Linked DNA regions of Oryctolagus cuniculus. The main gene of each other region encodes a partner of the protein of the gene in region 3 in a complex. Links are inferred from orthologs where the notes say so. Each region holds a gene or a part of one and is shown on either strand. Other genes may lie near its edges. The genes, in order: PLXND1, MYO6 and GIPC1.

The links.
Region 1: the proteins of GIPC1 (region 3) and PLXND1 are in contact, whole or in part, in a crystal structure (PDB 5V6T), measured with the Mus musculus proteins. The link is inferred for Oryctolagus cuniculus from reciprocal best matches to the Homo sapiens genes GIPC1 and PLXND1. Residues at the interface, in NP_061241.1 of Mus musculus: His61, Glu141, Ala142, Leu143, Gly144, Leu145, Thr146, Ile147, Thr148, Asp149, Asn150, Gly151, Phe156, Lys158, Arg159, Arg190, His191, Tyr192, Glu193, Ala195, Arg196, Leu198, Lys199; in NP_080652.2 of Mus musculus: Glu1400, Met1889, Glu1893, Arg1899, Gln1902, Gln1904, His1905, Glu1908, Ile1918, Tyr1919, Cys1921, Tyr1922, Ser1923, Glu1924, Ala1925.
Region 2: the proteins of GIPC1 (region 3) and MYO6 are in contact, whole or in part, in a crystal structure (PDB 5V6E), measured with the Mus musculus proteins. The link is inferred for Oryctolagus cuniculus from reciprocal best matches to the Homo sapiens genes GIPC1 and MYO6. Residues at the interface, in NP_061241.1 of Mus musculus: Glu273, Ser274, Tyr275, Met276, Gly277, Ile278, Arg279, Asp280, Glu282, Leu283, Thr286, Asp310, Phe311, Ala312, Pro314, Glu316; in NP_001034635.2 of Mus musculus: Ser1055, Lys1056, Trp1057, Lys1058, Tyr1059, Ala1060, Arg1084, Arg1085, Leu1086, Val1088, Tyr1089, Trp1092, Lys1093, Asn1096.

What each region holds. Positions count from the first base shown.
Region 1 is NC_091441.1:114,290,780-114,295,602, reverse strand, and holds the start of PLXND1 (plexin-D1), read right to left. Parts: upstream 3,179-4,823; 5' UTR 3,049-3,178; coding exon 1,711-3,048; intron 1-1,710. UniProt on the Homo sapiens protein: Cell surface receptor for SEMA4A and for class 3 semaphorins, such as SEMA3A, SEMA3C and SEMA3E. Plays an important role in cell-cell signaling, and in regulating the migration of a wide spectrum of cell types.
Region 2 is NC_091436.1:96,688,783-96,693,618, reverse strand, and holds the start of MYO6 (unconventional myosin-VI), read left to right. Parts: upstream 1-1,823; 5' UTR 1,824-2,060; intron 2,061-2,179; exon of another isoform or gene 2,180-2,202; intron 2,203-4,836. UniProt on the Homo sapiens protein: Myosins are actin-based motor molecules with ATPase activity. Unconventional myosins serve in intracellular movements. Myosin 6 is a reverse-direction motor protein that moves towards the minus-end of actin filaments.
Region 3 is NC_091447.1:63,120,509-63,124,767, forward strand, and holds part of GIPC1 (PDZ domain-containing protein GIPC1), read right to left. Parts: intron 3,032-4,259; 5' UTR 2,947-3,031; intron 1,247-2,946; 5' UTR 1,218-1,246; coding exon 930-1,217; intron 1-929. UniProt on the Homo sapiens protein: May be involved in G protein-linked signaling.

The DNA.
Region 1 (4,823 bases), on a different chromosome or scaffold from region 3:
CGCCCCCTCGGGGTGAGTCACCACACGGGGCCAGGCTGGGGACCAGGGACCGTGGGAACAGGGACATTTCTTCCAGAGGGGGTGGGGAGTCTGGGAGGCTGAGGAAACCCACAGACCAGCTTGCACCAGGGCCGTGGCACAAGGCCTGGAGCTGCTGGGCCGGCTGGAGGGTGCAGAGCAGGGTCCCCATTCCCCTCCTCCAGCCCTGAGACCCCAGTGCCACAGACACAGCCAGAGTCGGCCCTGGGGAAGGAAACGGTGGGTGTCCCGACCGCAGCTGGGCAGCCAGCCCTGGCGGTGTCGTGGCTCCCTGGGGCCCTGCCCGCTCACCCTGCAGGGCCTTCACCTGCAGGGCGGCCGGCTGGGCGCTGGGCAGTCGTGGGAGCCTGAGTCTGCGAGAAGAAATCTGTGTTTTCTCAACGGCCCAGCGCTGGGCACGCCCACAGGGCGACCATTAATCTTAGGAGATTCTTGTCACAGCCACCGCAGGGCCCCAAGAGGGGCTGGGCAGTCACCAGGAGGGGGGGTGGGGGACCCTCAAAGTGGGCAAGGGGAGGGAGCAGCCCCGCCCCAGGGCCCTGCTGGTGCCCTTCGTGAATCCCCTCCGGCCTCCCGCACTGCTGCGTCATGTCCCCAAGGGCAGCACACACGCTCCACACCACACACACACGTACACATGCACACACACACACTCGCACATGCATACACACGCACACTCGCACATGCATACACACGCACACACACACTCAGCGTCTACACCACACACACACGCACGCACACACACCCGCTCTGTGTCCTATGGCAGCAGGGCCTCAGCATGAAGAACGCAGATGCTGAGGTTACAAAGCCAAGATTCCCGGCCCACCTCTGCTAGTCCCCAGCTGTGTGACCTTGAGCGAGTTACTAACCTCCCTGTGCTGGCTTCTTCATGGTAAACAGGAAGAACTCCTGAGTTAGGACCTGTGGCGATGCGCCTAGCGGGGACTCCACAGCCTGCTGTCTACCTGGTGCTTGCTGGGACTAATGCTCTGTACACCGTATCGGTTGAATGAGGGCACAAAAGCTGGCCTCACGTTTTTACCAACCCTGTGGCCTTCCCCGAGGACCTACTGGTTCCCAAACACCTGTGTCCCCTGCCGCTCAGGTACTCATTGTGCCAGTGTCCCCACAGGCACCTGCCTGCCGATACTCCCACAGGCCCCGCCCACTGGCACACACATCTGGGGCACACACCTTTGTCACTCGCGCTTTGCCACCACCCCCGAATCTGCAGGGTCCCTGCACACCTGCCACACCCAGGCACACGTCTGTCACCTGGCGGCACCAGCAGCCCTGATGGACTCACACAGCTGGTCCAGGCACTCACACCTTTGACCAGAGAGATGCTCACGTGCACCTGTGAGCCCCATGTGCACATCTGGCTGTCTGTGAACCTCTGGTTCTCTGTGGCAGCCTGGACCCCTCCAAGCACATCTGGATAAGTGCCCCGCGATAACCCAGCACTCACCCGGTTACCCTCTCCTCCACCCCACCCACCCCGGGCGGACACCTGGGTCCCCCCGTGAGCACCTGGATCCGTGTCCATGCACCTGCGACCTGGAGCGCACACCTGGTTCCCGGCACTCTCACGCCTGCGACCTGCTGGCGGCGCACGGCTTGCCGGGTGCCCCGCAGGCTCCCGCTCCCCGCGCCCCGCCACCGGGCCCGTACCTGGATATTGCGCTTGCGCTCGCAGGCCGGCCCGGTGCCCTGCACCACGCTGTCCAGCACGGCCACCACGTCGGGCGCGGGCTCCACGAAGCAGGCGGTGCGCGCGGCGCGGATGGCGGCCCGCACGTCGGCGAAGCGGAAGGCGCAGAGCGCGGCCGGCGCGGCGCGGGCCGCCGGGGCCCCCTGGGGCCGCTCGAACACGGCGAAGAGCAGCTCCCGCGCGGGGAAGACGGACACCAGGCGGCTGTAGAGGTCGCCGCGGCCCGCGCCCCCCGCGCACTGCAAACCCAGCTGGATGTAGGATTCGGTGAGCTTCTTGGCGTCGCCGCCGGCGCCGCGGGGCAGGCAGATGCGCGCCAGCAGGCTCCGCGCCTGGCTCTCCTTGTCGCCCGCACGCGCCTCGCTGTTGAGCGCCAGGTACGCGTAGGACGGCACGCCGGGCGGCGGGTCGGGCGGGTGCAGGAAGGCGCTCACGAAGCCCAGCTTGTGCTGCTCCTTGGCGCCCTGCTTGATCTTGAGGATGTTGTCGTCGGAGGGGTTGAGGTCGAAGGTGAAGAGCTTGGCCAGGTCGCCGCGCGCGTCCAGCGAGCGGATGGAGATCTCTGGCGTGTTCTCGAAGCGGTGGTCCTCCAGGCTGCGGTTGCGCGGGAAGAAGGCGCTGCCGTAGCCGGTGTACGTGGCGCCCACGAGCAGGCGGCTGCCCCCCGCGCCGGCGGCCGGCGGCAGCACCAGCGCCACGGTGGACGCGTTCGCGTGGTTGGCGGCCACGTTGAGCATGCTGGGGAACACGGCCACGGGCTCGGCGGGCGGCGCGGCGGGCGGGAAGGCCACGGCCACGGCCGAGATGTTGCCCCGGCGCCGCAGCTGGCAGAAGCCCTGGTAGATGGAGCCGCACACGACCACCAGGCCCTGGCCCGGGTCCAGCTGCAGGATCTTGTTGTAGTTGTCGGTGAGGCGCCGCGGGTGCTCGCACGAGGCCTGTGGCAGCTGCGGGGCGTGGCACAGCGGGCTGTCGGCCACCGGGCCCACGGCCGCCTCGGCCTCCAGGCTCAGGTTGGCGCCCGACAGCTGGTACAGGCGGTTCACGGCGGCCAGGTACACGGTGCCCGCCGCGCCGTCCAGGGCGAAGTTGTTGGTGGGCGTGGGCGAGGGGAAGCGGCGCTGGATCTCCAGGGCGCCGACCTGCGCAGCCCCCAGCACCAGCAGGAGCAGCGGCAGCGGGCACCGCGGGGCCCCCCGGAGCGGACGGCGCGGCGGCGGCGGCGGCAGCAGCGGCGGGGGCCCGGCCGCGGCGGCCCGGGAGCTAGGGGCTGCGCCGCCCGCGGCGCGACGAGCCATCCGGGCGTGCGCGGGCTGCGCGGCGCGGCGAGTGCATGGGGCGAGGCGCGGCCGGGAGCCGGAGTCCGGAGGCGGCGGGAGGCGGGGGGCGGGCCCGGGCCGCGAGGCGCTTCCTGCCCGCGCCAGCCGCCCCCGGCCCCGGCGCCCCGGCCCGGCTCAGCCTCGCGCGCGGCACAGCCCGGGGGGCGGGACGGGGGCGGCTCCGCGGCGGCCCCGCCCCCGGCGCCCGCCCCGGCTCCCCGGCGCCCGCCCCGCCCCGCGCCGCCGGCCTTGCGGCGGCTGTCGGGGGATCGTGCTGCCCCGTGTCCCCGCGGGACTCCGCCGCCGCCCCCGCGGCTCTGCGTACCCCAGGCTCTCGGGCGCGGTCTCCTCTTCCCCGCTGCGCGCCCCGCGTCTCTGTCCGTCCTGTCCCCCTCAACTCCGTGTGGGTCGCGCCTCCTCGCTCCCCTCGGTCTCCGCTCCCTTCTCTCGGTGTCTGCCTGGCCCTCCCACTTCTGTCGACCCCGCCCCCACCCCTACCCTGTCTCGTTCTTCCCTCCCCAGTCGGTTTTTCTGTCCCCGGCTTCGCCAGGCCGCCCACACCCCATGATCCATGCCCCAGACCCAAGCCCAGGGAAGGAGTTTACAAGGAGCGGGGAACGGAGAGCAGTGCCTGCAAACCAGCAGAGAGGGTGTGTGAAGAGAGGAAGCCTAGGGCTTAGGCCTGCTGGACAGTTGCCTCCTGGGGAGATCCAGGTCTGTGGGCGGCCACCCTCCCACTGAGCCCAGCGCTTTACTTTTGTCAGGGATCCTGCAAGGATTTGAAACTGCAGTCCTCCTAGACTTATGCAAGATTTGCCACATGTGAGCTGGCATGGGGCAGGCTTCCTTCACCTTGGGGGGCGAGCGAGCGCTGGGTGGGAACCGGGCCGCAGTGGTTCTGGGGTCGCAGGGCTGGAATGAGAGCCGTCCACAGCAGCTGGGGCACCGTGGGTGCTTAGCAGGGCTGGCCTCGTGCCAGGCACTGCGCAGTGCTGGTCACCTGGACCAACACTTCGTCCACACAGGAGCCTGGTGCCATGGTCACCCCATCTCCCGGATACAGAAACTGAGGACCCAGAGAGAGACGGAGACAGCTCGTGAGGGGCAGAGCCATGGAGTCTGCCAGCAGGGTCTCCTGTGAGACCCCCAGGGGCCACATGGTGCCTGGTGGGTGGCCTTGTCCCCGCCCCGCCAGGAAGGCAGGCCAGGGGGTGTCTCTGTGCTCCATGGGGCAGGCAGGAAAGGCTGGGCTTGCAGCCACCCCCACTCCCACCCCGCACTTCCTCTGCCCAGCACCCTGGTCTTCCTGTCCTCTGCCAGCCTGTTCCACCCCTGTCCCCTGGCCTGGTACTGCTCCGATGGCCAGCGTTGTCCTGCAGCAGGAAAGGGGGGTATCAGAGTCAGGGGGGCTCAGGGCCACCTGGGGACTCCCCGAGAGGACTGAAGTCCCTGCCTCTGTCTCTGTGGCGTGGGGAGGGCGCTGCCCCCCGCGGGAGCAGGCTGGGGAGCCAGGCAGGACTGGCCGGGGCCGCCTCAGAACATTGGCTCCCACCCTGCCCGGCGCCGCAGCCCTGCGGCGTCCTCCGCCCGTCCCCGCTCCTCCAGCCTTGCCCGGCCGGCTCCCGGGTTTTCTGTCGCCTCTCGTTCCTGGTCGCCCCCGCCCTCCCGGTCTCCCGTCCCTGCCTGCCGAGGCGAGCGAGCGTCTCTGCCTCCCTCCCCGGCCCCCGCCCGCCCCGGCTCGGCCCCCTCGGCCC
Region 2 (4,836 bases), on a different chromosome or scaffold from region 3:
GCTTAGAGAAAGCTGCTTTGAGGGGGGACAAATGGGCTTTGTTCTGAAGGATTAATTGGATTTATCCTTGTAACACTTCAGTTTGATAAACAGCATAGCTGTCTTTTCTGGGGCACACAAGCACTTCAGGAGGACTTGAAGGTAAAGCACAAAAAATGAGGGAAAGACACTGGGTAGAAATGAGATTGCACAGATAAGTAGGGCTAGGGTGGTGGTCCAAAACGGAAGTGATTCCTAAGACAGGCAAGTGACATTGTGTGAAGAAGCCTGGTTGGGACAGCTTTGTGGGGTTTAGGACAGTGGTGAACCGGGAACCAGCTGACCAATGAAAAGGCATTCAAATTCAGCTCACACAAAAAATCTCATAGTCTGTGAGTAGTGGTTAAATTAAATGGGATTTTATGAGACATTTTAAGGGGTCTGGACTTAGAATAAGGAGGGTGCAGTACTGCTCTATAGGAGTTTAAATAGAGGAGTAGATACGAAGAGTTTTATCAATGATGAACTAGTGGAGACTGAATTTAAAGGGGACGAGTTTGCAGTCTGGGAAACTGCTTATGTGCCAAGGGCAGTGTGCAAGTCTTGAAATGATGGCGGCCGGGAACACGATACTTGTAGTGGTTATGAAGAGGAATTGGATACATTAAAGAATTACAGAGCTAGAAGCAGAGGGACTCAGTTACAGATTATCCAATCTGTGGGGGGTGGGGAGGAAGAGATGTAAGTGATAAGCCACAGAAACTAGTCAAAATAAATTGGCTTCTATTAACTTCCCGAAGGCTTTTAATATTAAATCCAAAATTAATTCAAAGCGGTAAACTAAGTCTTCATTTTTTTTTCTTCTTTCCTTTTGAATCGACTGAAGACTTATCTTGTGGCAATCTGGAAATAAACTTCCGAGATTGCTATGAATTATTTCCTTGCTTGGTTTCGCTTCCTCTTTCTTACTTCTCCATCTTTTTCTCAATGTTTTATTATTTTGGTTGTATGCTACAATATCTCATCAGAACTTAGCCTTTCCACCCAGAGATCTGGGGGAACCTTTGACATCTGATGCTACGTGTTTCTCCTGTAAATTTCCGGAAGTTTCCCCGTTGCTACTTTTACATGTTGCGGAAAACAGTGTAGTGCTTACGTGTTAAGTATTTTAGTTTCAGCAGAAATATCTAGCATTACATTTATTTCATTTTCTTAACTGGAACTTCTTTTCGTCCTAAAAGCAACGTAGTAGCAGACTGCGTAGTTTCCTCGTATAAAACAAATTTGCATAGGTGCTTCATATTTATAAGAACAGTAAAATCTAAGTGACCGGGAAGACAGGGGCTCTTCAAAATAAAACACCCGGGATGGACACTCAGAGATTTCCATCTCAGCCCCCTCCTGCTAAGGCAGGAATGGCGAACTATTTGCGCAGGAAGGCTGATACCCACGCAGGGCAGCCCACCCGGACTATGGCCGAGATCGCCAGGGTCTCTCCTCGCGACCCCCTGGTGTCTCGGGGGTCCTCGCCCTGTCTCGGACGCACTTTCTCTCTCCTGGAGCTCACTGCGGTTTGCACGCTGCACATTCCCGCGATCCAGTCGGCAGCGACTGGAAACAATATCCGCTGCGTAGGCGCCGTTTCGCTTGGAGAGGAGCGAAGGCGCCCAGCTTGGCCAGCTGCACCCCTCCCACGCCGAGCAGCACCCACCCACGCCGCGGCCTCCACGCCGGCTGGCAGGACAGCCCCACTCCGCTCGGGAGCGCGCCCCGCGCCCGCGCACCCCGTCGGCCCGCCCCGGCCCTTGGCGCCCCCGCCCCCTCGGGCGCTCCGTAGCCGTGACGTGTGCGCGGCGGGGCCGGGGACTCTGTGGGGCGCCGGCCGGCGGGCGGAGACCGACCCGGGATCTGTCCGAGCAGGAAGCAAGCAGTAGCCTGGCCGCCGCCGCCGCCGCAGCCCCGTCCTGGTGCAGTCCGCGTCGTCGTTCTTCCCGATCCCCTCGGCACCCCTAACCCCGCCCTCCGGCTTCACCGGCGACAGGTAGCCCCGCCGCCGCGCACCTGCCTTCGCTGCAGCACCGGTGAGTGTCCGCGCCCGGGACACTGTGGGGCGGCCGCGCCAGGACGCTTTTTTCCTGGCTCGGCCTTGCTTCGAGGCCTTCTCTGACCGCCCTGGGGCTGAAGACTCGGCTCACCTCTGAGGAACGCGGTTGGGACCAACAGGTGATGGGTGGGCCGGGGCGGTGGCGGCTCACCGTCCTGCCAGGGTGGTTCTCATTTCCAGACAGACAATGAGAGTCTCCTTTCATGGGCTTGTCATCACCAAGGTACCTTTGTGTTTCTTCCCTGGCTCCAAGGTAGAAGCATAGCACTCAGGTGTCCAACTCTGCCTTGCACACTGCGCGATAGTTTTTTTTTTTTTTTTCTCTTTTGTAAACTCGCTTAAGATTCAGGGCAGGAAGAGTACAGTTCGTTCTGAGATGTGAAATGATACCATTAATAGTTTAATCATGTTGAAGACCAAGTTGGGACTTAGTATTTTTGCTGTCTGGGAGGTCCAGTACCTTGAGTATGTTAATTTACAGATATGTTACCGGAAAGATCACTTTTTTCTGTTTGCAAAAACTTAATGAGGTGAAAAAGTTAAGACTCCAGGATCTCAATTTTAGTTAGGAAGCCGTTTGATAGGGTTATTGCTAGAACATCCTTGTCTGAAATATTGCCATAGTTTTCAGAAAGCTTGGTTCGTTTTATTTGGCGTAAAGTATGTGGTGGAAGGATGCTTAAAACCTAATCTACAGATATTAGTGAAGAAGTAGGAACACTTCTCCAATTTAATAGACTGTTGTACGTGCTAAATAAAAGTGATTTGCTGTTATGCTCTGCTGGTATGGATTTATTATATCTAAGTATAGTCAGACTTTGAGAGTTTGAAAAATTAATATGCTTTAAAGCTTACTTGAAACTATCTTCACACCATAAAATGTGAATCTTGGACTGGTAGTGGTCATGGTACAAAGGTTGACGGCAAAGCAGCATTTCTGTACAAATTAACTGCACTTCATAGATCTCTTGGGTTGTGTATTTCCAATTGGGAAATATTCAGTGAAAAAAATTACCTCCATGCCTTTTATCATTAATTTTAGAAACTGCTACAAATGTTACAAAGTGGGCTTTAGCCAGAGCTTCAAACAATGCAGTCGTTCAAAATAGCTCATTGACTTTTAAATAATTCAGCTCATTTGAGTATTTTCAGTTAAGCAGGAATTGCATCCACAGTGGTAAACAGGGGTCATTTTAGTCTTATGCAGATTTGCCCATTGCATTGTATTTTCTATGTGACATGATACTGCTCTCACAGCTCTTTAAGTTACATTTTTGTTTTCAAAAACTAATGGTAAAAGGTAGTAACAGAAAGAAAAGATGATCATGCTTAAACATTTTTGTAATGAGCAATTATAATATTTAATGTAAATAATATGAGGTAGTAAAAACAAAGATCTTAAATCATAGCCCATGGGCTGATGTGAAATGTACTTTTTCCCTGTTTATATTTACGTAATCAAGTTTTAAAATAACAGTGGCCAGGAAATCTGAGAGAGGCTGAAGGCTCTTTTCTCATCCTGTTGTGACTTTGCCTGGAGTCTGTGGTGTATCATGTAGCCCATTGTTTAGACAACTGGGCTTTATCTGGGTCTGAAAATGCAGCTTTCTTCAGAAAGTTTTAAAGATTTTGACTGTGAGATTTGAATTCATATAAGCACCAAATATGTTTTAAAAATAAGGACTTATTTGACTTTCTGTTGATAATTGAAGCTCCACCTTTGATCATGTAGGTCAATTTGAAAATTTTTTTACCCTTTCTGAAATGTTAACTTATATATGTTAAAATAATTAGAAAAGAGATTTGTAAAAGTATTACAGCTTTAAGTAATCTCATACACTTTAATTATGGTCCCCATAATGAGATACTTTATAACCATTTGTGAATTGGCCTTTTAGTGTATAAGAGCATCACCCATGTAGTAGGGATCTGCAGTAATTAGAACCCAGACTGAGGGGCTTGATCTACAAAATAGATTTCAGAGGGTGGTGGTCTGGTCTTTTTAAGGAGAAGTGCATTGAGGCTCAGAGAATTAAATACTTACTCAAAGGTATGTAGCTCCAGAGGGGCAAAGTCTGGGCTCACACCTTGAGTCTGCTAACTTTGAAGTCCCTATCCTTCCTGCCTGAATAGGTTGCCTTGCTTCCATTTCATATGGGCTTTTCATCTAACTCTACAGAACTGCTGCTGTGTTCAAGATGTAGAAGACCGGATCCTGAAATAGATGCCGTAGATGCTCTATACCGAGAATGTAGTTCTGGAACCAACTGAGAATTCTGTGTCTGTCTGCATTCTCAAGTGGACAGTCTTGAATGATGCTGCTTTATCATTTCTGGTGTAGTTCCAGAGTCTTAAACAAATTTGTGTACCTCTTATTTTGATGGGTTTAGAGGAACAAGAGTTAGACTATAACACTGGCCATGTTTTAAATATTAGATAATTAACTACTGTAATCTTAAGGGAAAAGAACTTGTTTGGAGAGTATGTTGAAATTGTCATCTACAGTGTTATATTATTTCATGTAATATATATATTACAAGTCCATCTACAGCATTATATTATTTCATGAATATATATTACAGTGTCATCTACAGTGTTATATTATTTCATGAATATCCCTTGAACCTTAATAGACACAAAGGACAAAAATGAGCACATAAAGTTCTTTTGTAACAAATTAGAAGTCATACATTTCAGCAGTAGAATGTAGTTGGGTAAATGAGCAAAAAAAGACTGCATTGGGTGGTGACTGC
Region 3 (4,259 bases):
TCAGCCCCGCGCCCTCCCTGCTGGGAGACCCACTGCACTGCGCATTCGTCTTCTGCCCCCAGAATGCACTGGGCGGCAGATTTCCCAGCTGGCCAGCGGCCCCCACAACCTACTGGGGCTAGGGCCTCATGGGAACTTGGTGAGACCTGTGGTCACCAGTTTCCGCGCAATCCATCGGGCCACAGGCCTCCCAGTGCCTGGTGGGAAGTCAGCTTCCAACCGTGGCCCTCATCTCCCACAATCCACTGGGGCCCAGGCCTCCTAATGCCTGATGGGGGCTCAGTATTCAGCTGTGCCTATTAGCACCTCTCCCTGCCCCCCATAACCCACTAGGACAAAGGCCCCCTCCCAAGGCCTTATGGGAACTCAGTTTCCAGCCCGGGGGCCATCAGACCCCACACCCCACAATCAACTGGGGCCCATGCCTCACAATGCCTGATGGGAAGTCAGCTTCCCGCCGTGGCTCGCTCTCGTTTCCCACAATCCACTGGGGCCAGGTCTCCCAGTGCCAACTGGAACTCAGTATTCAGCTGGAATCATGTCTCCCTTCCCCCACCACTCCACAACCCACTAGGACAAAGGCCCCCTCCCAAGGCCTTATGGGAACTCAGCTTCCAGCCCGGGGGGCGGGCAGCCCCCACAATCCACCGGGGACCGCGCCTCGCAATGCCTGACAGGAAGTCAGCCCCAAGCCGCAGCCCTCACCTCCCACAAGCCTCTGGGCCCAGGCCTCCCTGTGCCCCATGGGAAGCCAGAATTCATATGGAGCCTGCGGCTCCCCACAATCCACTGGGCCCAGGCCTCGCAATGCCTGATGGGAAGGCAGCCCGAAGCCCCAGCCCTCATCTCCCACAAAACCCTGGGGCCCCGCCCTCCAGTGCCGGCTGCGCGCAGGTGCACCTGCCGCTGCGGCGCCCAGCAGTGCGTACCTCGGCGGCCGGCAGGCGGAAGGCCTCGGCGATCTTGCCATAGAGTTCCTTGACGTTGGTGAAGCCCTCGATGCGGCCCGTGGGGCTGCCGTGCGCCAGCTGGGTGTGGAACACGAGGCGGGGCCGCAGGGCCGGTGGCGGCGGGGGCAGGCCCAGCTGAGGTCCGCCCGCGCCGCCGCCGCCCAGGGGCCCCGGCTCGCCCACGCCCAGCCCGCCGCGGCCCGGCTCAGCTTCCTCATTCTCCACCAGAGGCGGCGCCTTTTTCCGCCGCCCCAGTCCTAGCGGCATGAGCGAGGGGAGATCCGCCCCGGGGAGACCTGCGCGGGGCGCGGGAAGGGGAGTCAGGGCCAGAGCCCCCGGTATCCGCGGGCACCCACGGCTGCGGTGTTCGCCCGATGACAGTCCTTGCACCTACCAAGGACGGCCAGAGTTTTACTACTTTTTTGAAACTTTTTCAGTGTGCTCTGAGTCCGTGGCTCAGCGCTCCCGGCCAGGTCAGCCCCGTGCCCATTTACCAGATGGGAAGACGGAGGCTCATGGCTGATAGCGCGACTAAGCTCTGGCCAAGGAGCCAGGAGGGCGGGCGAGGGACCACACCCTGGGCGGAAGCCCCGAATGGCTGCAGTGAGAACCACCAGGGCTGTGTCTCTTCCCCCACCACGTGTGCCACACGGTGGCCGCGCCCTGAGTGGCGCCTCCAGCCAGGCGGCAGAGGGTATATGGCAGCCACAGGCGCTGTGGTGCAGCAGGTAAAGCCACCGCCTGCAGTGCCGGCATCCCATAGGGGCACCAGTTGGTGTCCCGGCTGCTCCACTTCCGATCCAGCTCTCTGCTGTGACCTGGGAAAGCAGTAGAGGATGGCCCAAGTGCTTGGGCCCCTGCACGTGCATGGGAGACCCAGAGGACACTCCTGGCTCCTGGCTTTGGTCTGGTCCAGCCATAGCCATTGCGGTCATTTGGAGGGCAAACCAGTGGATGGAGAACCTCTCTCTCTCTCTCTCTCTCTCTCTCTGACTCTGCCATTTCAAATTAAAAATAAATAAATCCTTAAAAAATAAATAAAATGTTACCTTCAATATGAGAAGCAAGGTCCCTGACTATAGCCTGCATGTACTGTCGCACAGGTTGTTGACCGTGCACAAGCCAGGTGTCACGTGGGACTGGGGTTCGGCCTACGCTCTGCCTGCCAAGCCGCATTCCTTGGTGTGATGAGGTGTGGGCAGCAGCCTGCCCAGAGGAGGGGCTGGGGTTTGGTCTTTTTTTTTCTTTTTTAAAAAAGAGCTTTATTTCTTTCTGTATCTGTTTGAAAGGCAGAGTGATGGGAGGCTGGGGGGGGGGAGAGGGGAAGAGGGGGAGAGAGAGAGAGAGAGAGAGAGAGAGGTCTTCCATCTGTGGGTTCAGCCTACAGGTGGGGCTGGCCCATCCCTGGCTTTTGTGGGCATTTGGGGAGTGAACCAGCAGGTGGAAGACCTCTCTCTCTCTCTCTTTCTCACTCTGCCTTTCAACTAAGTAAATACATCTTTTTCTTTAAAAAAAAAAAAAAGCTCAACTTTATTTTGGTACAAAACTTTTTTGGAGGCCACACTGGGGCTCAGGTCAGATTTCATTTTGCCGATTCCCTTGTGTAGAGTTATTTCTATGTAAAAGGCAGAGAGAGAGAGACATCGGCCACCCGCTGGTCCACTCCCCGCATGCCGACAGCAGCCGGGGCTGGGCCAGGCTGAAGCCCGGAGCCAGGAGCTCCATCTGGGTCCCTCACGTGGGTGTGCAGGAGCCCAGGCACTGGGGCCGCCAATGCTACTGCCCAGAGTGCAGGTGCACCCCCAGGGCCAAGTTCATGACCGGGGTGCTGTGCCCTAAGCAGAGGCTTGGTCAGCCACGCCCCTTCCTGAGGGGAGGGGCCGGCGAGTAGCCGCCTGATTCTAGTTCCCTGTGTCCAAGGGACTTTGGGCTGCTTCGTGTACGCATGCGTCCGCTCATTCATTCATTCACTCATTCATTCATTGGTCTGTCTCACCGAGACCAGCGCGGTCGCCTCTTCAGGGTCTCCTGGCTTCCGCCTTCACTCCCCTGGCTCGTAGGAGACAGCAGCCAGAATGATCCTGTAAGACGTGAGCAGGTCGCGGGAGTCCCGGGGCTCCCCGCTGGCCCACAGGGCCCCCTGAAGCCCCACCCACCCGCTGCCCACATGCCCAGCCACGAGGGCCACAGTCAGGCCTCAGGGCCTTTGAACAGGCTGCTCCCTCTGATTCTGCCTCCCACCCCATCCCCCACACCCGCCTCTGAGGGGGCGTGGCATCTTCTCAGCCCTCCATCCATAGAACAGACATCAGTAGACGCTGGCTGAGTCCATGAGTGGACGAATGAGTGGGCCCAGTGCTGGCTAGCCAGCCGGTTGCAGTGCCCGGCTCCGGGGAAGACCAGGCGGTGGCCTCCCGGCCTTGTCACATCAGCAAAGCACAGGCCGTCCCCTTCCACTCTGTGGTCTCTGCACACTTCACCTCTCAGCGCGGAGCCTGGCGCACAGTAGGTGCTTATGTTGTCAGACACAAGGAAAGCGTCCCCCTCACCTGTTTCAGTCTATGCAGCTTTCAACTGCTTGCCTTGGCCTTTTTGTGAGCGGCGGCTCAGCAGTGAGGACCCGGCTCAGGACCCCCGCATCCCACATCCAAGGGCCAGGGTCAGTTCCCAGCTCTGCCTCTGACCTGGCTTCCTGCTAATGTGCGCCGGGGGGGTGGGGGGGGAGCGGGCAGCAGGCAAGGGCTCAAGGAGCTGGGTCCCTGCCACCCACAGGGGAGACCTGGATGGAGCTCCTGGCTCCTGGCTTTGGCCTGGCCCAGCCCTGACTGTTGTAGGCATTTGGGAGGCAAACCAAAGAATGAAAGCTTGCTCTCTCTTTCTCTCTCTCTCTCTCCCTTCTAAATAAAGAGAAGATGAGTAAATGCATTTAAACATGTGGCTTTTTTCTTATTCATTTGGGAGAACTCTTTATATGATGGATACAAGCCTTTCACCGGTTCTCCAGCCTTCCTACCCATAGCAGTCATCGTGGTCTAGCACATGGTAGGCACTCGCTGAGTATTTGACAAAGCAGCCTACTCCCTCAAGTTATCCCACCAAGCTCATGACGCTAAAACAACAAACAAGAACCCAACTCTCGCCATCTCTCAGCACTCATGGGAGGCAGGGGGCTGTGTGGCTCAGAGCAGGGGTCTTAACCTCTCTGAGCTCCCAGGAGCCTGGAACATTCCAGCTCCCAGCGCAGGCTGTATTGAGTGCTAGTGACTATTATTTGCAACAATAGTTGATCAGGCCCCCCGAGGCCTCACT